Linked DNA regions of Saccharomyces cerevisiae S288C. The gene in region 1 interacts genetically with each later gene. Each region holds a gene or a part of one and is shown in the gene's direction. Other genes may lie near its edges.

Region 1 (5,911 bases):
AAAGTGACACCGGTTTAGAAATAGCCTCTCAGATGGGTGATGACGAGATTATTGTCGAGGGTTATGCAGAAATTGCCACTTATAGGCCATTAATGGCTCATTTCTACGATGCTAATGGCGTACCAGGTGAAGAGATGGCGCTGGATGGTGTTGGTGGAGGCTGTACTTTGGTCAAAGCAGAAGTTCACAGAGACGGTGCCATGTTCCCTAATTTCCCATTTTATCACTTGATTGAAACAGAAGGTTTTGCTAAGATGGCGAAGAGATTAAACTACGATGTATTTGGCTTACCAAACTATTTGGTTTATCACATAGAGGAAGAGAACCATTGAGCAACTGAGCAAAAAGCATACAGAAGCTATAGCGTTATTGAAAGATAATATTGTTGCGATTATTAGTTGAAAATAAACAAAACAAGATATATATTCATATATATATATATATAATTTACACATGTATATTAAAAAATGCCGAATAAAAAGTGCTACAACAACTAATTTCTGAGCTTGAGAATAAACCATTCACATTTTATTTCTTTTGGTGCTTCTTTATCATTTATAAATCGGTGGTCTTGACTTTTTATTCCTTTCTAGTCTAACAATCATCCATTCTATAGCGTCTTTAACACCTTCTCCAGTCAATGCGCTTATTGGTAAAACCCTACTATCTCTAGCGCTTATATGTTCCGCAATCTTATTAAATACTTCTTTTATATCTTGTACTTCCATTCTATCTTGTCTATCTTGTTTATTGGCCAGCATCAAGATGGGTACACCTTCAATTTCTTCATCCATTACAACTGACTGTAGGGTCGTGGAACATTCGTCTAATCGTTCTCTATCTGAACTATCCACAATGAAAATTATACCATGACATAGGGAATAGTATTCGGACCACATTGATCTCAGTGATTCTTGACCACCTACATCCCAAAACTTCAAGATCTGTTTACTGTCAACGGGTATTGTCGCCACATTTTGTCCTACCGTAGGCTGTATCTTTTCCAAGGCTTTGAACGCCAGAGAGTATTCCTTTTTCAATGTCTCCAAGAACGTCGTTTTGCCTGCATTGTCTAGACCTAATATTAGAATTGAATATTGTTCCTTTTTATTCCAATTATTGTAAAGTCCCTTGACTAAATGAAACATGTGTGCGGTGCGCTTTATATGCTTTATTCTCCTTCATCTACTTGATTAACACATCGATCTGAATTCGTTTTTTAATTTTCCGTTTACATTTGTCTGAAAAAGGTGTAAACATATTTCTTATACTAACACTCCCATAAAGTTCAAAGTAGAAAATAGGAGGTGGGGGAGGATACGTACATATGCAAGCTACATTGACGTATCTGCTCTTAAACATAAAATAAAAATGCAGTAGTATGTTAACTTATTTAATGGTGGGATATATGCTTCTAACTGAATATAACTGCTTAGCATTCAAACTCTAAAATAACAAAGTTTTCATCACCTAATAAATGAGAAATAGAATCCGTAGCTAAATCGGTCGAGTTCAACAAGACTTCTCTATCTTCATTTTTAATCAGTTTCCCACCGACCCAGTTAAGATTTTTCAAAAGATCCAAACCATTATTAATTAAATCATCTCTTAAAATATACAATCTCAATTTCATGTATTCGAATTTGAAGTTTTGGTTCAGGTTGGAAGTTAGCTCTAAAAGGGCAAGTAACCAATCTTTATTTATATAGGTACTGTGGTTATCATGAACGTTCCTACTATTCAGTAAAGATGGTAATACAACATGGAAATAGTTTTCATTAAGTTTACACCAAATCAGTTCCTGCGTAAATAGGGGAAGATACAGTATGAAATACTGCGAGCCTAGTTTTCTCCAATTGTAACCATCGTGGCTATTATTATTTTTATATTGCTTGGTATTTTCATTATAAATTAGTCTTTTTAACGTAGTTTTCATATCGTTTACAAGCTTATTTTTCAACAGCTTAGCAACAGACTTCTGATTGTTCCCCTTATTTTTTGACGGAACATTGTAATCTAATATGAATTGAGATTCCATGCATAAAATAACATCCCAGTAAAAATCGATGATATCAATCTCTGGTGGAACGTCTAGAGGGATGTCACGCGCACCAATCCTTAAATCCCCCACTAGCCAAACTATACGTAGAAAGTTTAGGCATTGGTGTGCACTTATTACTTTTTAGCAGTGAACTTACTGGAAAATGTAAAGAAATACCCAGATTTGATGGGTCCTCTATGAGCCTCATGAGTTCAGGACTCTGTAAAACGTTTATTATTTTTGTTTTCCTTTTCTGTATTACTTCATACATTTTCAAAGATCTTTTTACTTCTTTATGTTATCCTCACTATTGAAATACAACGTTACTAGGTCTTTTATCTTTCCATATTTTTATTCTCAATCACATACATATATAGTCATCGCCGATTATCTTTTCGTTTTTTAAGTGGCGCTCTCGTGAGACACGAGTTGTTCCTTCACAGGAAAAAAAAATATAAAAATAACCTTCAAGTTACATGTGATATTTATTCGAGAAATGTGGATGAGATTTGTTAAATGTACTTATAATGTGTACGAGTATACAAGACTAGAGGGATACTAAGCGTTCACCCAACCTTTTGTGCCCTTTAGTGAAGATAAGATAAGGTAAGATGCACGTACTGCTGAGCAAAAAAATAGCACGCTTTCTGTTGATTTCGTTTGTTTTCGTGCTTGCGCTAATGGTGACAATAAATCATCCAAAAACAAAGCAGATGTCTGAACAGTATGTTACACCATACCTTCCGAAATCTTTGCAACCTATTGCAAAAATTAGTGCAGAGGAACAAAGGCGTATACAAAGTGAACAGGAAGAAGCCGAATTGAAGCAATCTTTAGAGGGAGAGGCCATTAGAAATGCCACCGTGAATGCCATTAAGGAAAAGATCAAATCTTATGGTGGTAATGAAACGACGCTAGGGTTCATGGTGCCATCGTATATCAATCATAGAGGATCACCACCAAAGGCGTGCTTTGTCTCACTAATTACTGAAAGGGATTCCATGACCCAAATCTTACAATCTATTGATGAAGTGCAGGTGAAGTTTAACAAAAATTTTGCTTATCCTTGGGTTTTTATTAGTCAGGGGGAGCTTGACGGAATGAAGCAAGAAATGATTCGTCAAGCCATAACTGATTCTATGAATGGTGATCCTGAGTTAATTAATATTAAATTTGCTGAAATTCCTGCAGACGAATGGGTATACCCTGAATGGATTGATGAAAATAAAGCAGCAGAATCGCTAATTTCATTAGCAAATGTACCGGATGGTGATTCTAGAGCTGTAAGATATCAAGCTAGATATTTTGCAGGGTTTTTTTGGAGGCATCCAGTTCTGGATGAGTTTGATTGGTACTGGAGAGTAGACCCTGGTATTAAATTGTACTGTGATATTGATCATGACCTTTTTAGGTGGATGCAAGATGAAGGCAAAGTGTTTGGTTTCACATTGAGTATGAGTGAAGCTAAGGAAGCCAATGAGAAGATTTGGGATGTTACGAAAAAATTTGCAAAGGATTTTCCAAAGTTTATTTCCGAGAATAATTTCAAGTCATTTATTACAAAAAAGGACTCTGAAGATTTTAACAACTGTGAATTCACATCAAATTTTGAAATTGGTAATTTGAACTTTTATAGATCGCCAGCTTACAGGAAATTTTTTAATTACATCGACGAAGAGGGCGGTATTTTCTACTGGAAATGGTCTGATTCCATCATCCACACAATTGGGTTATCGATGCTGTTGCCAAAGGATAAAATACATTTTTTCGAAAATATAGGATTCCATTATGACAAGTACAATAACTGTCCCCTAAACGATGATATATGGAACCAATATAATTGTAACTGTGACCAGGGTAACGATTTCACGTTTAGAAGTGGTTCATGTGGCGGACATTACTTCGACATTATGAAGAAAGATAAGCCAGAAGGTTGGGATAGGTTACCATAAATCAAAACACTGATGTATAAGAACAATAATCTTCTACATATGAATATATATACATATGTATTTATTTATTTTATTTAATTTTTAATTAGGATCGCGAGAAAGAGAAAAACAAAACTAACTTATGATGGAACGTATCGAGAGGAGGTGAATATATATATATAAAATGACTAGGCTAGAAGATTCAGAGCTTCATGTATTGTCGTAGTTTTTTTGGTTTGACTTTTTTAATCAAATTTCAAATTTCAGTAAATAATTGGTTGGATATTACTATGCAAAATGCAACCGTATTTTAAAATAAAATTAAAAGAATCCAACTCATACAATGAAATGTTTTTTATATTAAACGTGCTTTTTTTTATTATTTTTTGTTCTTATTTTCCGGCTTTCGGAAGATGTAGAGTGGTCCGGTATATTAATGCTTGAACTAGGAAAAACTATGGATGGGGCGGCTCTTCATTCATGACAGTATCTGGAATTGAAATTGTGAATAAGTAAATCTTCAATTTCATTATCTGATTCTTCTTGAATTGCAGGGCCTGTACGATACCTTAAATTCTGATTCACACTCGGATTCGATAACGTAGTTTGGCCTTGCTCTTGCCAAATGTTAGATGAAGACGAAGAGACTGGAGAATAGGCATTAATGTTGGAGTTATTATAGCTATAGTTGATGTACGAAGAAGAAGACGAAGGGGGAGAAAAGAATTCAGTATATAGGGCCTCTGGACTTTTCTGAGGCGAATACATTAGGTATTGCGAGGAAAAGTAGTTTGCATTCGAAGCAGAGTGAGAGAATTCCGTTTGTGCAGACAGAGGAGGAGACGTGTAGGTAGAGAAAGAAGCTGATCTAGCATGGGATAAGTAGTTGTTTTGTGAAGGGGGAGTGATGTCAATAGGTTCTTTACTGTTCATCTTGAACCCATTTGGCAGCACATGAGCATTAACACACTTGTTACCGAATTTACAGTTACCCTTTGCGAAATACTTGCAAGGTAAATTATTCGCAGAACTGATAATATCTGGGGAATGGGAAAAGGGACAAGACGAGCCAGCTTGGCAATTGCCCATCTTAAAAAATTTGCATGGCACGTGTGAATAGTCCTTCTGCTGTTGAGAATTGTTCTTCGTTATCAGTAAATGTTCCATGATAATTTTTTGTTGACGTGATGAGAAAGGCAGTTGATTGCCGACAGTACAATTTTTTGACAAATTTACATTTGCATTGCTGTCATTGAAAGACCTTGGAATATTCTGGAAATCCTGAATTTGCGATGCAAGCATTTCGTTTGCTGATTGGGAGTTTCTTCTTGCGTTACCGCCCGGATGATTTGATACAGACATATTCTCAAAAGCATCCATTTTGTTTTAGCAAATAATAGTTTTAAGATTTATAATAATAATAATAATAGTAATAGTAATAGTAGTAGTTATGATAGTGTTAGATAATAAAATCGAGATTTTGTAGAAACAAGGGGAAGCCGAAAAAGAAGAAATTATAATTACTCTAATATGACGGCACAAGAGAAAAGGGAAAAGAGTAACTGCTAAGAGATTCTGTTTTTATAATGCCCGGAGTAAAAGAAGCTTTGAGATTAAAAGATCACCACCATATTTTGTAATAATTTACTTTAGATTGAGATATAGGGGAAGAACTACACGAAGCACCGAAATCCAAAACTTAAAAATTACAAGATAAGCACGAAAATACATAATACAAATAAAAAATGATAAAGGCAGAATTATACTGTGGTACCTTGAAGATAAGAATACCGTACCACAACATGTTAATCTCCACATCATTTTATTACTAGCACTGCCACACCGTGCACCCCATACAGGATGTTGTCTGCACCTTTTCTTCCTATCATCTTTTTTATCCCACATCATACTGTGGCGGGCCTGTAGTAGAGCTCCCTTT
Region 2 (5,039 bases), on another chromosome or scaffold:
CTAATAGAGTCCAAGGTAGTCACACCGAACAATTTCTTTGGGTTGTAAACACCCTTGTTTTTCAAGACTTGGGCGACAATTGGAACGGTAGAATTGACTGGGTTGGAAATGACCAGAATGGCAGCATTGGGAGCGGATTCGGCGGTTGCTGCTGCCAAATCGCGAACGATGCTTGCGTTGATGGCGAACAAGTCATCACGTGTCATACCAGGCTTTCTGGGCACACCAGCAGGAATTAAAACCATGTCTGTGTCCTTTAAAGCGTTGTTCAATCCGTCTGGCTCTTCTGGAGTAAACCCCTTGACCACGGAGTTTGTTGGAATATGAGACAAATCGGTGGCAACACCTTTTGCGCCCTTTAGGTCGTACAGTCTTAAGTCCGTGACTTTATGGTTAAGCTTTAGAAGCAAAGACAATGGTTGTCCAATACCACCGCCTGCACCCAAAACAGTCACTTTATAAGGGTTGGCAACTGTAGAGGAAAACGCACGTTTAGCTACTCTTGACAACATTGTATATGGTATCCTTCCTTTTCCTTTTGTTTTTTTTCTTCCTTTCCGTAGATGTCCACGTATAATATATTGTATATCTATATGTGTATTCGTTATCTTAAGTGGAGGAATACAGTACAAACACCCAATGCGTGCTAACACTTCTTTTTAAAGCGCAAGCTATATATATTGTAATATCCGCCATTGTATTATGGCAACTTTTTTTTGTATTTTTCTGGGAATCCGCTTGGCGCGTGATTGAGCCAATGAACGCTGAGTGAATGCCGAGAAGGGGGGGAGAAGCTGGCAGGAAGGCCCAACCGCCAGGTCCCTTGTACCTCTCCGGCGCCGAGGGTCGCACAAACTGCTAGTGCCTACTCTAGTTGTTGAATAAGAAATTGATTAATTAAATTGAGGGATTTTGTATTAGTGAATTATAATTTATCTATGTTTCTTATGTAGTGTTATTAGCGTAATCATTATTCGATGTCGAGACTGCTGCCCAGGTACATGCGGATTTGGCGGGGAGTGGCCGGTAGCACCCTGCAGCGCACGGGGAAGGCGGCGTTCTGCGTTTCGCGAGCCCGGCGGTCGTATGCCTGTAGACGGTGGCAGCCGCCGAAGGCATAATATAGCGTCTGTCCCTTGACTCGCACGCCCAGCACGTCCACGGGCGGCAGTTCCCCGGCTGAGGCAGCCGCCTCAGCCTGTTCTAGAGAGCATGTCTTGCTAGCGGTGGGAATGCCCTTCATTGTGGCCACCATTGCGTCGATCTTTTGAGGATCCAACACAGGCGCTAGGGGGCGTCTGATCTCTGAGAGAGGAATTTCTGTTGGTTTTACACTGTTGCTTTGTAGTGACATATTGTTCTTTTTTTACTTGGTTTTGTAGTTTTTTTTTTCAGTAAGAAAAGTATATATAGCTCATTGATGGTAGATATTGTGGTTTATATACAACACCTCTTGACATGTATTGCATCGCATCCTTACCCAACAGGGCTACTGTAATGACTAAAAATAATGGCGACTTCTGGGCCGGCCTTCTAAAAAAAAGGGACCCGCAACGGGTAACGGCATATTTTTTTCGAAATCAAAGTTCCAGCTTTTCGATGTTTGTAAGCCTTCTAAGACAGAAAGATGTAGTATAAATGATGTAGCTTACTAATCAGGGAAAAAGCAATCGCTAGTATTGCAGAGGCCAAAGGCTTAAGCATCACATTTCGGTAGTAGTAAATAGTTTGTTAGTTCACGTGCTTTTCATTCGTCTCTATTTTACATATTATGATGTCTTCAGACCAACAGGGGAAATGCCCCGTAGATGAGGAAACCAAAAAGTTATGGCTACGAGAACATGGCAACGAAGCGCATCCTGGTGCTACTGCCCCAGGCAATCAACTAGAGTGCTCTGCAAACCCACAAGATAACGATAAAACGCCTGAATATCACACCACGGTGGATCTCTCTCAGTCCAGAGAGGTTTCCACCATACCAAGGACGAATTCTGACAGAAACTGGATATACCCGTCGGAGAAACAATTTTACGAGGCAATGATGAAAAAAAATTGGGATCCGAACTCAGATGACATGAAGGTGGTTGTGCCTTTACATAACTCCATCAATGAGCGGGTTTGGAACTACATTAAAAGCTGGGAAGACAAGCAGGGTGGTGAAGCGTGTGGCGGTATCAAATTAACAAATTTTAAAGGTGATTCCAAAAAACTGACACCAAGGGCCTGGTTCAGGTCCCGTATCTTGCACCTGGCCAAACCTTTTGATAGACATGATTGGCAGATAGATAGATGCGGTAAAACCGTCGACTACGTAATCGATTTCTATTCCACCGATCTGAACGATGCAAACTCGCAGCAACAACCACTTATTTATCTCGATGTTAGACCAAAATTAAACAGTTTTGAGGGCTTTAGATTACGGTTCTGGAAATCTTTAGGCTTTTGAATTACTACAACTATTCCTGTAAATAAAAACATACCCTCCCTAGTTTCCACATACATATTTATTTAATCTTATTTAGGCACTCAATTTAGAAACTAGGGAATGAAAAAGCAGTAATCTTCTTTTAAGGAATAAACAAAAAAAAAAAAAATAAAACATAAAACATAACACAAAATACTCTTTTCTAATGCATTTAAACTTCGGTTTTCACGTCTTCCTCATCCTCTTCGTCTTCCTCGTCATTGCTCTCATCGGATGCTGTTTCATTTAGAGCTTCTTCCTCCTCCTCGTCCTCCTCATCCTCTTCGTCATCCTCATCATCGTCGTCCTCATTGTCAGCACCCTCTTGTTCTTCTTGTTCTTGCTCTTTATCACCAGTTTCCTCGTCCCTAGCTTTCCGTATTTCATTGATTCTCCTCCTAACGATCTCTACAATATCTGTCCATTCTCTCATACCACCCATACCAATATCTCCGCATATTAATACCTTTTCCACCGGTTTCAAAACTTGGATGAACGGATAGTCTTGCACTAAACTCGTCAGGTGTTTCTTTGTCATAGGATTGATATACATGAATGTATTCATTGCAGGCGCAATCAACACTGGGGTCAGTGGTGACCAATCTCTCATCACAGAAGTTAGCAAATTGTTACATATACCATTGGCCAGTTTAGCAAGTGTGTTAGCTGACAAAGGCGCAATCAGGAAAATATCAGCCCATTTTCTTAATTCATGGTGCAATATCAAGTTCAGACTCAAGCTAGTATCATTCTTATTCACAGCGTCGAATACCCAAGCGTCTTCCTCCCTCCAAATTTTAACGTGTGTTGACATTTTGAGCCCTTTCAAAAAATGCTCAGCGGGTTTTGTGACAATCAACTGAATAGAGATTTTCTCAGGCCCATATATCTTGAAAAGTTTATCAATAATTAGAGGTACTTTTATTGTGGCAACTGAGCCCGTCGCACCAATGAGAATGTGGAATTTCTTGTCGTCTTCCTTCTGAAAGAACTCTGTGAAGGGTACACGAGGCCCTGTGGGTGCAGTGATAACTTCCTTGTTTTTATGTGTGGAGTTATTAGCCGATAATGGCGCCGCCTTTGCAGTGATAGGTTTAGAAGCGTTTGACTTGGGATTGAAGTAGATAAAATCACCTGGCATATGAACGATAGAATTTTTTTCCATCGAAGGTGAATCTACTTCATCTTCGCTATTGCTCGTACCACTCGATACCGAATGTTTCCTGATATCAGTACCATCATTAGTAGTGTTCTCCTTAAATATTGCATTCGCTATCCTCTCCTTTTCGTCTATCAGTTGCTGTCTTTCAGTTTGCTTTTTTTGCACTTGCTCCTGAATTTGCTTCACCTCTTCTTGCTGTTTTGCTCGTTGATTTTGCTCCTGCAGTTGTGCCTTTTGCTGCTCTTCTTGTTGTTGATTTTGCTGCAGTTGTTCCTGCTGCTGCTGCTGCTTTCCAGGTTTATTGGATATCGAATATCTATGATACGGCAACCTTTCCACCTCGGGCACCGTAAATGAAACAGCAGAAGGTAATGAAGGTGAAAACCTTTTTTGCTGGCCATTTGTATTAGCTGGCATACTGGTGTTGATCTGTATTTCATGGCCATCTTTGTTCCTTTCACTATTTTGCTTCAGATTGGCAAAAGAGAAATCCCTCAAATTTGTGCTATAATCGTTTTTGTAAATATTCCTCCTATTAGAGTTGGATTTTGATTGATCTTCATGACTATCAGATCTTTCGAAATTTGATTCATCGTGAATACTTTTTCTTCTCTCCTTGTTGGTCAAAATTGAAACCGGCACTTGTGTTGTAGGCAAGGATGAAATTAAGTTAACTCCCTGCTTACCGTTCATATTCTGATCTGAGTTCACTTTTTCATCCGTCATCACACCTAATAACTCTTTGCTGGTCCTTTAGACTTTTATTTAAATATGCTAACTAAGTGTTACTTTACTGTTCTTTCTCTTTTTCTGCTTTTTGTTCTCTCATCTACGAAAGTTCGGTGCGAAATTTTACGTGATTCATTTTCTTACAGAAAAGTTCACATGTTTAACAGTATAAGCGTATGGACCTAGTTATATTTCTTCAGTACATAGCATGCATAATGAGAATATTCACATCATAATTACCCAAAAGTGTCAAACGTACTGTCTAATTCTTTGTCGTTGTCATCGTTAGCGTCTTCTGAAACGGTCACTTGAACGAAGAACATTTTGGCTTCATCATTCCCTCTATTGGCAATCGCGTACTCGTTGAATGCCGGTATTTGGAAAGTGGAACCTTTAACGCTCAAGAACTTGTTCTTACATACAGTTACTTCGACTATTCCCTGTATCACGTGGAACGTAATATATGTCCTAAATGAGTTGCTTAATTTCTTTTGTCCAGAAATAGCTGGTAGTTTTAATATGCCGCTAGCAAAATATTCTTTATGCTTATCGAACATTATCTCAAGGGCAAAATTCTCGTCCTTCGTGTCTTTTACTTGTTCAGTTTGCGACAAATTGGGCGCGAATGCAATAATTTCATCCTTAGTTTCCTCCTTAGTGTCGCTAATTTTCACATTAGCTTCC
Region 3 (5,582 bases), on another chromosome or scaffold:
TACCACAAGATTTTGAAGATGAAGATGATAAGGTTTTACGTACCAGCAACGGTGGTAACAGGTTGTCTAAAAGATTTGGGGGTACACTGAAACTGAAGAAACGGTTAGAGTCTGTTCCAGAATTGTTCTTACATGATTTCAAGAAGAGGCCACGCTCCCAACTTGAGGTGATTAGAGAGAAAAAATTTACTGACATGCAAGTTCCCAAGGGACCAGTTTGTCCTCAAAGCACGATTCTACCATTACGAGAAAGAAAGAAGGTAAAATCACTACCAATTCAAAGAAAAAGTTTACGTAGGCCGACGCTGTCAAAGCCTGCAGTAGTACAATCTTTAGGGCATAAGACACATTCGGATCATATTATTGATAAAGTGTTTGTCTCTCGCCCGGCCCCAATTGTAATGCCTGTAAAAGCCCTTACTCCTATTAATCCGGTCTCCCTAATGCAAACACAGACACAAGATTGCTGTAGAAAAAATAAGTATGGCAAAAGCGGTAGTGAAATATTGTTTGACGAAATTCTATCAGCCTATGAAAACGTTTCTACAAGCGATTCTACTGCCCTAAATTCAGAAATTGACAGAATTATCGATATATGCGCTTCAAAACAAATAGCTAAAAAAAATGAGGCATTTCAGGTACCATATGTCGTCTGCCCTGACGACACAGAGACTTTGTTTTCGTCAACAACACCAAAGTTGAAACCTGTCAATTCTAACACATTAAACGATGTCATTTCTAGCCCAGAATACACCACGTCTGGATGCAGTACATACTCTGACCAATCGAATTCAGATGAGGAATTGTCCGAAGTAGAAAGTATAGTATGGAACACGAATAAGAGGACAATGAGATCATCCATTGTGTCTGAAAGCACTAGTGAGGAAGGCTATTGCACTGCTGCGGAGACTTTGCCCTCAACAGTATCAGTGGAAGATCTGGATATACATAACAAGCTTCCAAAAGTTGCACAAACATCATCGTGCAATACGCTTTTGAATAAACTCTCTATAAGAAAATTAAAAAAAGTAATTCTCGATCCGCCTAAAATAATGCATGTCATGACTTTTGACGATGACAGTGATGATGGAGATGACAACGATGACGAGGATAGGGCTTTGAATATTCTTCAAAAAAAAATTGACTGCATTGAAATAGCAAGTTGCAGCAGTAGCATTTACAGCGAATAAAAAAATTTATTCTAGGTTTCAAGTAAAATCATACGTATATAAGTAGAATAATGGCATGAGCGGTGACACATTGTGTATTTGCACCAGAGGTGGTCATCAATAGAAAAGTGTCACAATTTCAACGATAAATGGCCGCTTATGTCGCACCTTTTGTAGTATTACCCGCAAAGGATCATAATGAAGAACTACTATGGCTACATATAAACAGAGCAGTTAGATACAGTGCGTCTTATAAGGGCATTTTTGAGCATAAAGCACAACAGGTTGAACTCAAGAAAACTACATTTCACTATCAATGGCACCCACACAATTGGATATAAAAGTCAAGGCCTTGAAGAGGCTGACTAAGGAGGAAGGGTACTACCAACAAGAACTGAAAGATCAGGAAGCACATGTGGCAAAACTTAAAGAAGACAAGTCAGTTGACCCATATGACTTGAAGAAACAGGAGGAGGTCCTTGATGACACAAAAAGATTATTACCTACTTTATATGAGAAGATTAGAGAATTTAAAGAGGATTTAGAACAATTTCTAAAAACTTACCAGGGTACCGAAGATGTCAGTGATGCAAGATCCGCTATTACGTCTGCACAGGAATTACTCGATTCTAAATAATCTATAGATAACCTTTTTCTTACCTTTTCGCATTTATTTTGATGCAGGTTTTTATACTTTATTATGTACAAACCTGTTGCGGATGAATAATAAATCTCGCTAGAAAATGCACGGAATATTATATGCAAAAGTAGAAAAGTGGAAGACGGCTGTTGATACAGTGACGAGATATAAGAACATTTTACTCTATATTTAAAAAGAACTTTATTAATCTATTTAATTGAGTTAACACCTTTAATGCCATCGATATGGATTCTCGAGTTGCACTGGTACGAAAATACATAGCACCATCGGTGATAAAAAGCGATTCTATTCAATTGCACGGTTTAGTGAAGGCACCACTATTTAAAGCGTTGAATAGCCGTTACAAATTAGGTTCACTACAGATAGTACAGGATGTCGATTGGAATGCGAAGACAACACCATCCGATTCTCCAGAGCCTCTGGCCGCTACTCTAAACTCTAATCGATCCCTACCAATGACTAAGTTCCCCAAGCAGGAGATCTTGGAACAGGTAAAATTGGATACTAAGGTTGGCAAATGGAGGAAATTCATGACAGGTTGGTTTAGAATTGGATTGTATCTTTTAAAAAGCTATAAAACAGGAATTCAGAACACGTTAAAAGTATTCTGGGATACTCGAAACGAAGAGCAGAAATTCAGCATAAAAAACGGTGCATTGGCTAACTTAGTACGGGAAATAGAAATGCATGAAATCAATACAAGACTATCGTCTTCATCATTGCCTACAAGTTCTTCAGCAAAAGCCCCATTAAGGCCACTTTCAATCAATAGGAAAACACTGGTGGAACTGATCAGACGAGATCAAATCTGGAAATTACCTGTATTTTTCACCTTAGTATTCATATTTGAGGAGGTAAGTGTATTGATCTTTACCTTTTTTCCACGTGTCTGTCCGTACAATTGTTTAACTCCTGGTGGATACAAGAAGCTTTCCAACTCATATATCAAGGGAACAACAAGCACACAAGGTAACTACGGTCTGGGTCCCTTAGAGTTTACTAAGCAAGGTACAATTAAGTATGAGCCACCATATGCAGTTCCTATTGAGAATTTGTATAATTTTCTGACAAGCTTTCCTCAAAGTATGATATCAAACTGGAAACTGTATATTTATAAAAAGTTAAAATTACAGAAGCTACTTTGCAATGAGATAGAAAAAATTTACCAGTATCTGTTTATCGATGACTGGTTGCTGTTGCAGAGTATACTCAACACTGATGTTGAGAAAACTAAAATCGCGCTAAGTGATAGAGAATTGGTTAACTGTATACTTGAAAGAAAACTTTATCACATGGGCGATGACTTGAATGAGATGGTTAATGACACGTTAGGGAAAGAAATCTTACTGAAAAGATTGTTTCTTTATTGGACATTAAGATATAATGACACTATATCCTTAAACGGAAAGCATACATTCAGTGAGAAATGGGGTGTCAACAATATATCATTGTTAAAATATAATTCAGAATTGGTAGCTACGAAAGATATTCAATAGATGTAAATATTCATGACATTATCTATGCTGTACATATTGTTTAAAACAAAAACTCTTTTAAACTTTTCTAATTGCAAATTCAAACAATAATTCAGTGATGTTTCTTGCTTTTGGAGCAAAGGGCAATGTTACTCTATATTGTATGTATAATATGATAGATACTCTTCCGTATATATAGTATATAGATTTTCGTCAAGCGTTTCAATTGGAAAGTGAAAGAAAAAAATAAGAAAAAATAGAAAATACAATTAAATTAATCGAAAAAAGAAGTGAAAATAATTGAGTAGTTCGTATTAAACCTTGTAGGTCTCTAAGTGAGCATTTTCCTCCCTAACCAATGTATGGTGATGGCCAGGCGCTCTAATAACTTTATTTTTTGAATCCATGGTACAGGCAGCAATGGCGGCAAACCATTCATCATTAAAAATATCATCTAAGGTTGCTCTTTTCTTTGGATCTACTTGCAGTATACGGGACATGATAGGTCTTGAAGCATGTGGTAGTAGACGTAATAGACGGTATGGGCCATGAATAATTTTTTTATGGTGAGGTCCTCTGTGCTGTTGACTCGATTTATTATCGGAAGCGATACTATGGGCCTTGTCTTGATTTTGATGCTGGTGATGATGGTGTTGTTGTTGTTGTTGTTGTTGTTGTTGTTGTTGTTGTTGTTGTTGTTGTTGTTGTTGTTGTGGATTGTTTTGGGGAACCATATCAGGGTTAGCGTTGGCAGCAGTGTTGACGTTAGTATCAACTTTAGCGTTACAATCCGATTCATTGCTGCAGTCATTGTTAGCATTACAATCCGTTTTGTCATTGCAGTCACTGTTAGCCTTGCAATCCACTCTGCCGTTAGAGTCACCATTAGCATCGCAATCAGCGTCGGCATCGGCATCTACTTTCTTTGGGTTAGCTGAAACTACCGTGCTTTTATTCTCATTTTTGCTTATTTTAATATCGATGGTACTTTCCTTGTCATTATCTGGCGTGCTTTCTTTATCATTATTGCTATCATCTTCTTTATTTTCTTCGGTTTCTTCTTCCACAATGTCTGGTTTGTTATCGCTTTTACCCTGTATAGATGCTGGAGTATTTGGAACTTGATTTTGAACTGTTTTCAAGTTTGATTCATGAGCTGGTTGTTGCTGATTGATGGCGGAACAGTCACTGTGATTCAAAAACCTTTGACGCTTTTCTTTTCTTTCCTTCAGTAACTCTTCGTGATGCCTGGCAGATTCAACATAGTCGTGTTCTATATCATCCGGCATACAATATAATCTAAAATTATCGTCAGAATCTCTAGGGGCTTTCCATGGAAACCTTTTAAGCACCATACAACAATATATGATCCCAATAGACCATATATCGACGCACTGAGGATCATAAGATTTGGTGGAGGTAATCACTTCCGGCGCTAAGTAAGGGTCACTACCCACGATTCCATGAGCCATCGTTACGCCATCTTCAAAAGGATATCTGAACACAACAGCACTACCAAAATCAATTAATTTCAAAATACCCTGGGAAGTCATGACACAATTATCCAATTTCAAATCTCTATGTGCCAATCCCATAGAATGTAAATATTTAACACCTTCAGTCAATTGCTTCAAGCAACAGTTGATCTCGCCACGAGACATCTTGCCTGTCATAACAACAGCAAAAAAATCAATCGGACAGTACTCCATAACTTCATAGTATTTATTTTGTTTAGAATCAGAGAAAACGTCAACAGTTTCGATAACATTTGGGTGATGTAAAGTCGAACCAATACAAAATTCTGCGGTGCACTTCTTGGCATATTCTTTCACACTCTCATTCGGTTTCCTTGGTCTGAATTCTTTGACGGCAAAAGTAGCACCATCAGTTGGTCTCACAAGAACTTTAACGGACCCACCGGCACCGGAACCCAATAACTTACCCAATTTCCCGTATTTTTGAGCCAGAATACAATCATCGTGATATATATTAATATTATTGGACAAAGATAGGATAGAATCGGTACTTGGCGGTATAGCAGACTGGGTATGAGCATAGTGGTCTGTAAAGCCATGAGGATGCTGGGCACGATAGTGATTATTTAAATTAACTGTAGAAGTTGATTTTGAAGGTGGGGGGGAATGGGTGCTATGTTTCTTGGAACGAAGTTGAGACATAGATAGTTTTTTATTTACAGAAGGTCTGAAAAACCTTTTCAATTCTGCCATGGAGTGGGTTTGTTTTGGAGAGGCGGGAGAAGTATAGTCATGGAGCCCA
Region 4 (6,136 bases), on another chromosome or scaffold:
ACGTATTTGTAAGCGTTCATTAAGGCATTCCTTTGTGGGGTACCCCAAGTATAGGTTTCAATGAAAGTATATGGAGATTCGTAGGCAGTTGTGGCTAGAGCAACATCACCCATTCTCTTCAAAATTTGTTTGTACAAAGTCTGAGTCCAAATGGCACCGGAAACTGCGGAACCGACAGCAGAACCAATTCTATAGAGGGTATAGTTTAAAGCTGTAACTGTCGCCATGTTTTCATGAGAGACGGCAGATTGTACAGAGACGGTAACTGGGTAAGTGAACAAAGTAGTGCCCACACCCCAGACACATAATGCACCAATAATACCTGAATGGGACTGACTTCCACCTCTAAAGTGGTACAATAAACCCATAGCCACCATCCATAGCGCGCATCCAAACATTATGAATGGTTTCAATCTCGTACATCTTGTTACAAGTAAAGCGAAAAATGGAGAGGCCACAGTAGAGACAAATGAAGATAATGTGGCAATTCTGGTTGCAGATTTAACGGATTCATTGACGGCAACAATCATAACCGTGTACAAATAATCAGCGGCCATATAGTAAATAAAATCAATCAGGAAAGAAATACCCATAGAAGACCATACAGCCCTATCTTTGACCAGCCTATATGGAAGAATTGGATCTCTAGCGAATCGATATTCCCAAATCCATAAGATAGGGATCAAAACAAAGCCAAGAACAAAGGGGCCGATCAATCTTGAATCATTCCAGGTAGTTTTGACCCCACCAGCCAAGGTCAGTGGGACCAAGATACAACCTAGGGAACAACCCATCAAAAGGACACCAACGACATCTAACATCCAAAATAATTGCTTTAAGATCTTAATAAAACCATGTTCTTGATAATAGGACTTCTGGCCCTTCAAAGCGTGCCATTCAGGAGTCTTTCTGGCCCTCCATTGCATGTGCAACATACACAAAACGATTGGAACACATGATAGGGGAAAGATGAAAGCCCACATACCTACATCCCAAGACCAGTTGACAACAGGATTGGCTCTGGAAGTGATATTACCAGCAATCCATGTGTTGATGATAAAAGGCCAAGTCGGGACAAATTGATACAGCAGTCTCCACTTTAAAGATGAAAAATCGGATAGGATAATCAAAAGAATAAGGATTACACCCACATAGCCAGCATTGTAGAAAATGGCACCTGCAGCGTATCTTTGAACATCATAAGCTTGTGATTGAATAATTGTACCCACAACATATAGGATGACAGCACTAATGAAAAGGTATAGTCTACCAAACACATCAGACAACCTAGCGTATATGATTTGCGAAGCGGCACTGACCACAGCATTAATGACGTTGATTGTAGACAGCAGAGAATGCTCACTATAGGATGATGTGGCGTAACCAGTGTAAATATAACGGATGTTACCGTCCAGTCCATAACCGTAGCCACATATGAAAGCACTCAAAAGTAAAATCGCTTGTAAGTACCATTTATTGTAAGCAGAGCCAATGATTTCAGTCTGCTGGATAATTAGGCTCCTGTTCTGTCTCAAGGCATTGTATTTTTCAGATAACTGAGGGAGACCATATGAGTCGGAGTTGGAATCGTTATGAGTCTCAGGATTCAACTCGTGTTCCATTCCCATGAAGACATGTTTCTTTTCCTCCTTAACAGGATCGCGAGAGTGAACAGACTCCATTAGTACGTTGCTATGCAGTGGCTTGAACTACTGTCCATATATTTTTAAGAAAGAAAACAAGAGATATAGTGAACGAAAGCAAAAAGAGAGCTATCGAATGTTTCCTCCCCTATATACAATTATTCCTGAAATCTTCAGTTCTATGCATCTTGCATTACTTCATGTAAACTGTACTCCGATTTGCTTGGCCTTTTTTTCTCTTTGACACTATTTTCCTAACGATATGTGCTTGTTATATCACACCTGCTTTTATGGGTGCATTTTGATAAATTTGCAATCCCAAACAGGAAAGAAGTGAAAAAGGCCAAGACATATGTGGCTTTCTAACAAATACAGGCACACAAATTTCGTAAGAGAACAAGTCCTAAAGATGAACGTTAATGATAATATACAATTGTCTTCTCATTTCTGTTGATGGATTTTCATTCGCAGGTGTATTTTTCCATCGCTTCGTGATAGAGCTGCCAGTACGCTTCATCGCGGTCGCTTACATGCGTGATATTTAGGGGATCTTTCATTGGCTTCCGATCAGATAATATGTATCATTAGTCAGCGGAAGTTACAGGTGGAAACCCTCCCCACCTTGATAGTTGTCTTGATTGTATAGGCCTGTAATCTATTACTATTATTCTATTGGAGTCCTGCTCGTTGTTCGTTCAAGGCGAATGTGCCTGCGATGAGTTGACTATGAAAAAGAAAATTTTTCAACTTGAACTTGACCATTCCAACAAAGAAGAAATGATGGAAGTAAAAAAGACTAAGGAATCAAGCTTGGTGAAGCTACCTCGTCATTTAATTAACGAACTTCTGCATGATCACCCAAACTGAGCTAGATAACTGCTTACAATGGGCTCAAAATAATGGAGCCTTCATCGATCCGAAAATCTCTTTTAGGATTACAGAGGATGCTGGTGTTAGTGCATTTGTAAACGAAAAATTCTCTCCCAAACCCGACCAAGCTTTGATTAGGGTACCCGAAACTCTGCTGATCACTTCCCAGCAAGCTTTATCAGAATTTTCCCAGGCTGCTAATGAAAGGAGTCTTTTGAATTCCGTGACACAGTTGTACTTGTCAAAGTTGAAATTTGGCACCGATGCAGTTCACCTGAAATCCTTTTACAAACCATATTTAGATGTGCTACCCTTGCACCTTCCACAACCATATTTTTGGTCTACTGATGAAGTCATGAATTTGCATGGTACAGACGTGTACTTAACTATGAGAGATACGCTGAACAAACTAGTAAAGGAGTGGAGGATGCTGTTCCAAGCTTTATCTATTGAACACTCTTCTCAAGATAAGCAGTTCTTGTCTTTATTCCAGGAGAATAAAGACTCTGCCGTAGTGCCGTTGGAACAGTTCTGCGCACACATCAATGGATGTAAACTAGAAGATTCGGAATGGAACTCGTTCGTGGCGTATCTTTGGTCGTACTGCATCTTTAATTCTAGGGCATTTCCTCGTGTCATTTTAGGCAGGGCCGGTACAGACCGCACCAATCTGAACGAAGGATTTTTGTATCCAATAGTAGATTTATTAAACCATAAAAACGATGTACCAGTAAGATGGGAGATGAATGAACAAAATGAACTTTGTTTCATGTCGCAGACTACCACATTTAGTGCACAGGATGAATTGTTTAATAATTATGGTAATATTTCTAATGAAAAATGTTTGTTAAACTACGGGTTTTGGGATTCCTCGAATAAGTTTGACTTCTCTAGGTTGACTTTAAAGCTACCATCCACCTTAGTTAGCGGTTTGCCCGTGGATTTTAACAAATCAGGTAATTTTGTTACTGACGATGGAGAAACTACCATTTTACAATTTAGTTTAAAAATTTCTGAACCATTACCACCGGTTCTACTAGCGTTATTTGCCTACCTAAGTAAATTAAAGTCTGAAGAAACTCCAACCGTAAGGAGCGTATTGGAAGGTATTGATCAATTAACATCTGTAGTATCCCAGAGATTGCTGTTTTATAAGAATTTTAAAATTAAAACTTCTTCGACTCAAAAATTACGCCCTCATGTTATTAAACTAATCAAACTATACTATCAAGATAACAAAAAAATTCTGAACGCCACTACTGAGAAATTGTCCGTTTTACAAAAAAAAATATATAGCAATAATAAGGAGTTTTCTCTGTCATTCAAGACAATTTTTAAAAACGACAAAATATTTGCCAATTCTCTCTTACTGGTATTTGGTGCTATAAATTACGAAGATTTGATCACAAAAGACTGTCTTAATGACGCATTGTTGCTCTGGATAGTCAAATTAATCAACGATAAAAGTAATAATCAGGGAGGTTTCATTAAACAAACCTTCAAAGAAGTTAGTGATTCAATTGTCATTGAAAAAGAAGATGTTATGGAGTTTTTGCCGTTCTATAAAAAATACTTCCCTAATTTATCGGAGAGAATTCCAGAAATTTATAGTGTCGGTGATTGGGGCATAAGACAGTTCATTGTGGCAGATACTGCGATTGATAGATTGGTTTGGATCAGGAAATCAAATAAAGAGCCTATATTTCTAATGAAGAAGGCATACGACTTACAGATTTAGCTTTGATCTGTAGCCTAAGTATAAAATTCTACGTATGTATATATTTACATGCAATTTTTTCTTTTTCCAATTCATGTTAATGTTCTTCATCATTTGATAATAGGCCAATGATATTATCTACTATCTTCTCCTTTTGAGGAGAAGCTGCTTTCACTTCCTCGTTGCTTTTCTCTTCGTATAAATACATGAATTTCGACTTGTCCAGCATTTTTTTATCAATACAATGCATGTGCCCATGAAGTTCTACCTCCGACAAATCTTTAACAAAATATGTCGTTATTTGTGTCATGAATTTCAGTAGGGTTTGAAATATTTCGGGTATGGCGTTCTTCTTATCCAGAATAACAATTTTGTAGTTTGCTGATAATGTTATTGGACGAAGCTGGATGGGCCTATTTACGCGGAACTTTTCGCCATATATTTCCTGTTCGAAGTATAAAAGTTGGTTGGCCAATTTCTTTAATCCGTTTGCAGATTGTAGCGATTGTTCATTCGCAAAACCAGGTTCTATTGTTGCATTTATTGACTCAGTGAAACCCACCAACTCCATTAAAGTTGGTCTTAAATCATCTTGCATAAACTTGTACAAGTTTGGCTGGAAAATTCTAATCATTTTCGATTTTGTCAGCACGGTTTGCAAAATTAATGTGATGTGTTCAAATCTTGATAAAGTCGTTTCATCATTTTGGAAAATAGAGAATTGGTTCCATTTCATTTCTGAAATTACCAGTGCGGAATATGTTTGTAGGTCATGAAGAAAAGAGTCGTATTTTGTCTTGTAGTTGATCAGAGAAGCTTGGTCCGTGGGTATTTTCATGGACTCGGTCTCTTGATATTGCTTCCATATATATGAGTCCCAAACATTCCAACTAAATTGAAAGGAAGGCGCATTATCGTTACCAGAGAAGGAACGGATGCTTTTCTTGTTACGTTGTAAAATGGTGAATATATTGTAGAGAATGAAATTTTTGCAAAATTCAGCCCTCAATTGCCGGATGGAGAAGTCGTTTGATAATATTGTAGCTCTTAAAATGTCTCCAGGGCACGTTCTGTCTTTGTTTGATTGTTTGCTCCACAATGTCTTATGGCTAACCGATCTTTCTAAAAGTTGCTTCAAAGTGACGACATTACCACCAGCGATTCGAGTTGTGGCACTGTTTGCATCCAGATAGAATGGTTTACCCTCTTCGTTCGCCAGTATCCGACCAGCGTTAGCCTTCTCAATGCGCTTTCGTTCATTCAAGGTGCAAAGTGGCGAAGCTATCTTGGTCTTCAATTTGTCTACCTCAGTAACGAAAAATTCTCTATGTTTATCTACAAAGTAAGGGAAAATACCAATTCCATCGAATTCCCCAATCATCGCCTCATCGGAAACCTGGAAAAGAGGCAAGGGCTTTGCATTAGCTGGGTTTACAAACATGGGTACCTCACCATTATTTTGTTCCAAGAGTCTATCGTAAGTGCTCTTCTTAACCCCGATTCCCCGACAAAAGTTTGAAAATATCGACTTAGGCCAAATTACACGCTGCAGTTTCAACTTATCATCTTTGCATCGTACCCTTATTAATTGTTGCCACTCGAAAGATGGCTTGAAGTCCTCATCCATTTCGCTGAACAACTTCTCGTAGAGACTTAAGGGGTGGTCAAACATAGGCGCAATCCGTTCCCAGTGTTGGATCCTCTTCTTCGAGGATTTTTGAGTTAGATCTGTTCTAACAATCTTGAATGCGTGTTCGCGAGGGGCGTTTATATCACGTAATAGCAGTTTTTGCAAGTCCGTGAGTGAAATATTATACAGTACTCCTTCAAGATCACAATATTCATAAGATAAGTTTGTCTTCTTAAACGCTTGCTTACAGCGAGGGAACACCTGATGTGTGATATT

Evidence for each region.
Region 2: mutations in KTR6 (region 1) and CYT2 together harm fitness more than expected from each alone (negative genetic interaction), as found in Saccharomyces cerevisiae (2 studies listed by BioGRID).
Region 3: mutations in KTR6 (region 1) and PNT1 together harm fitness more than expected from each alone (negative genetic interaction), as found in Saccharomyces cerevisiae (2 studies listed by BioGRID).
Region 4: mutations in KTR6 (region 1) and EFM1 together harm fitness more than expected from each alone (negative genetic interaction), as found in Saccharomyces cerevisiae (2 studies listed by BioGRID).

The regions. Positions count from the first base shown.
Region 1 is NC_001148.4:455,200-461,110, reverse strand, and holds KTR6 (putative mannosyltransferase), read left to right. Parts: upstream 1-2,652; coding exon 2,653-3,993; downstream 3,994-5,911. Other genes in the region: mannosyltransferase complex subunit MNN9, read left to right, coding at 1-332; Arf family GTPase ARL3, read right to left, coding at 552-1,148; LEE1 (Lee1p), read right to left, coding at 4,447-5,352. UniProt on the Saccharomyces cerevisiae protein: Glycosyltransferase that transfers an alpha-D-mannosyl residue from GDP-mannose into lipid-linked oligosaccharide, forming an alpha-(1->2)-D-mannosyl-D-mannose linkage. Required for addition of mannosylphosphate in yeast mannan.
Region 2 is NC_001143.9:274,596-279,634, reverse strand, and holds CYT2 (cytochrome c1 heme lyase CYT2), read left to right. Parts: upstream 1-1,771; coding exon 1,772-2,446; downstream 2,447-5,039. Other genes in the region: malate dehydrogenase MDH1, read right to left, coding at 1-512; SRX1 (sulfiredoxin), read right to left, coding at 971-1,354; phosphopantothenoylcysteine decarboxylase complex subunit CAB3, read right to left, coding at 2,637-4,352; MIF2 (Mif2p), read right to left, coding at 4,592-5,039.
Region 3 is NC_001147.6:818,969-824,550, forward strand, and holds PNT1 (Pnt1p), read left to right. Parts: upstream 1-2,054; coding exon 2,055-3,326; downstream 3,327-5,582. Other genes in the region: DSE3 (Dse3p), read left to right, coding at 1-1,190; RBL2 (Rbl2p), read left to right, coding at 1,486-1,806; putative serine/threonine protein kinase HRK1, read right to left, coding at 3,620-5,582. UniProt on the Saccharomyces cerevisiae protein: Probably involved in mitochondrial export. Confers resistance to the anti-pneumocystis carinii drug pentamidine. May act by the removal of pentamidine, or its damage targets, from the matrix by an active-transport mechanism.
Region 4 is NC_001140.6:19,290-25,425, forward strand, and holds EFM1 (protein-lysine N-methyltransferase), read left to right. Parts: upstream 1-2,493; coding exon 2,494-4,251; downstream 4,252-6,136. Other genes in the region: ARN1 (siderophore transporter), read right to left, coding at 1-1,682; CBP2 (Cbp2p), read right to left, coding at 4,328-6,136. UniProt on the Saccharomyces cerevisiae protein: S-adenosyl-L-methionine-dependent protein-lysine N-methyltransferase that monomethylates elongation factor 1-alpha (TEF1/TEF2) at 'Lys-30'.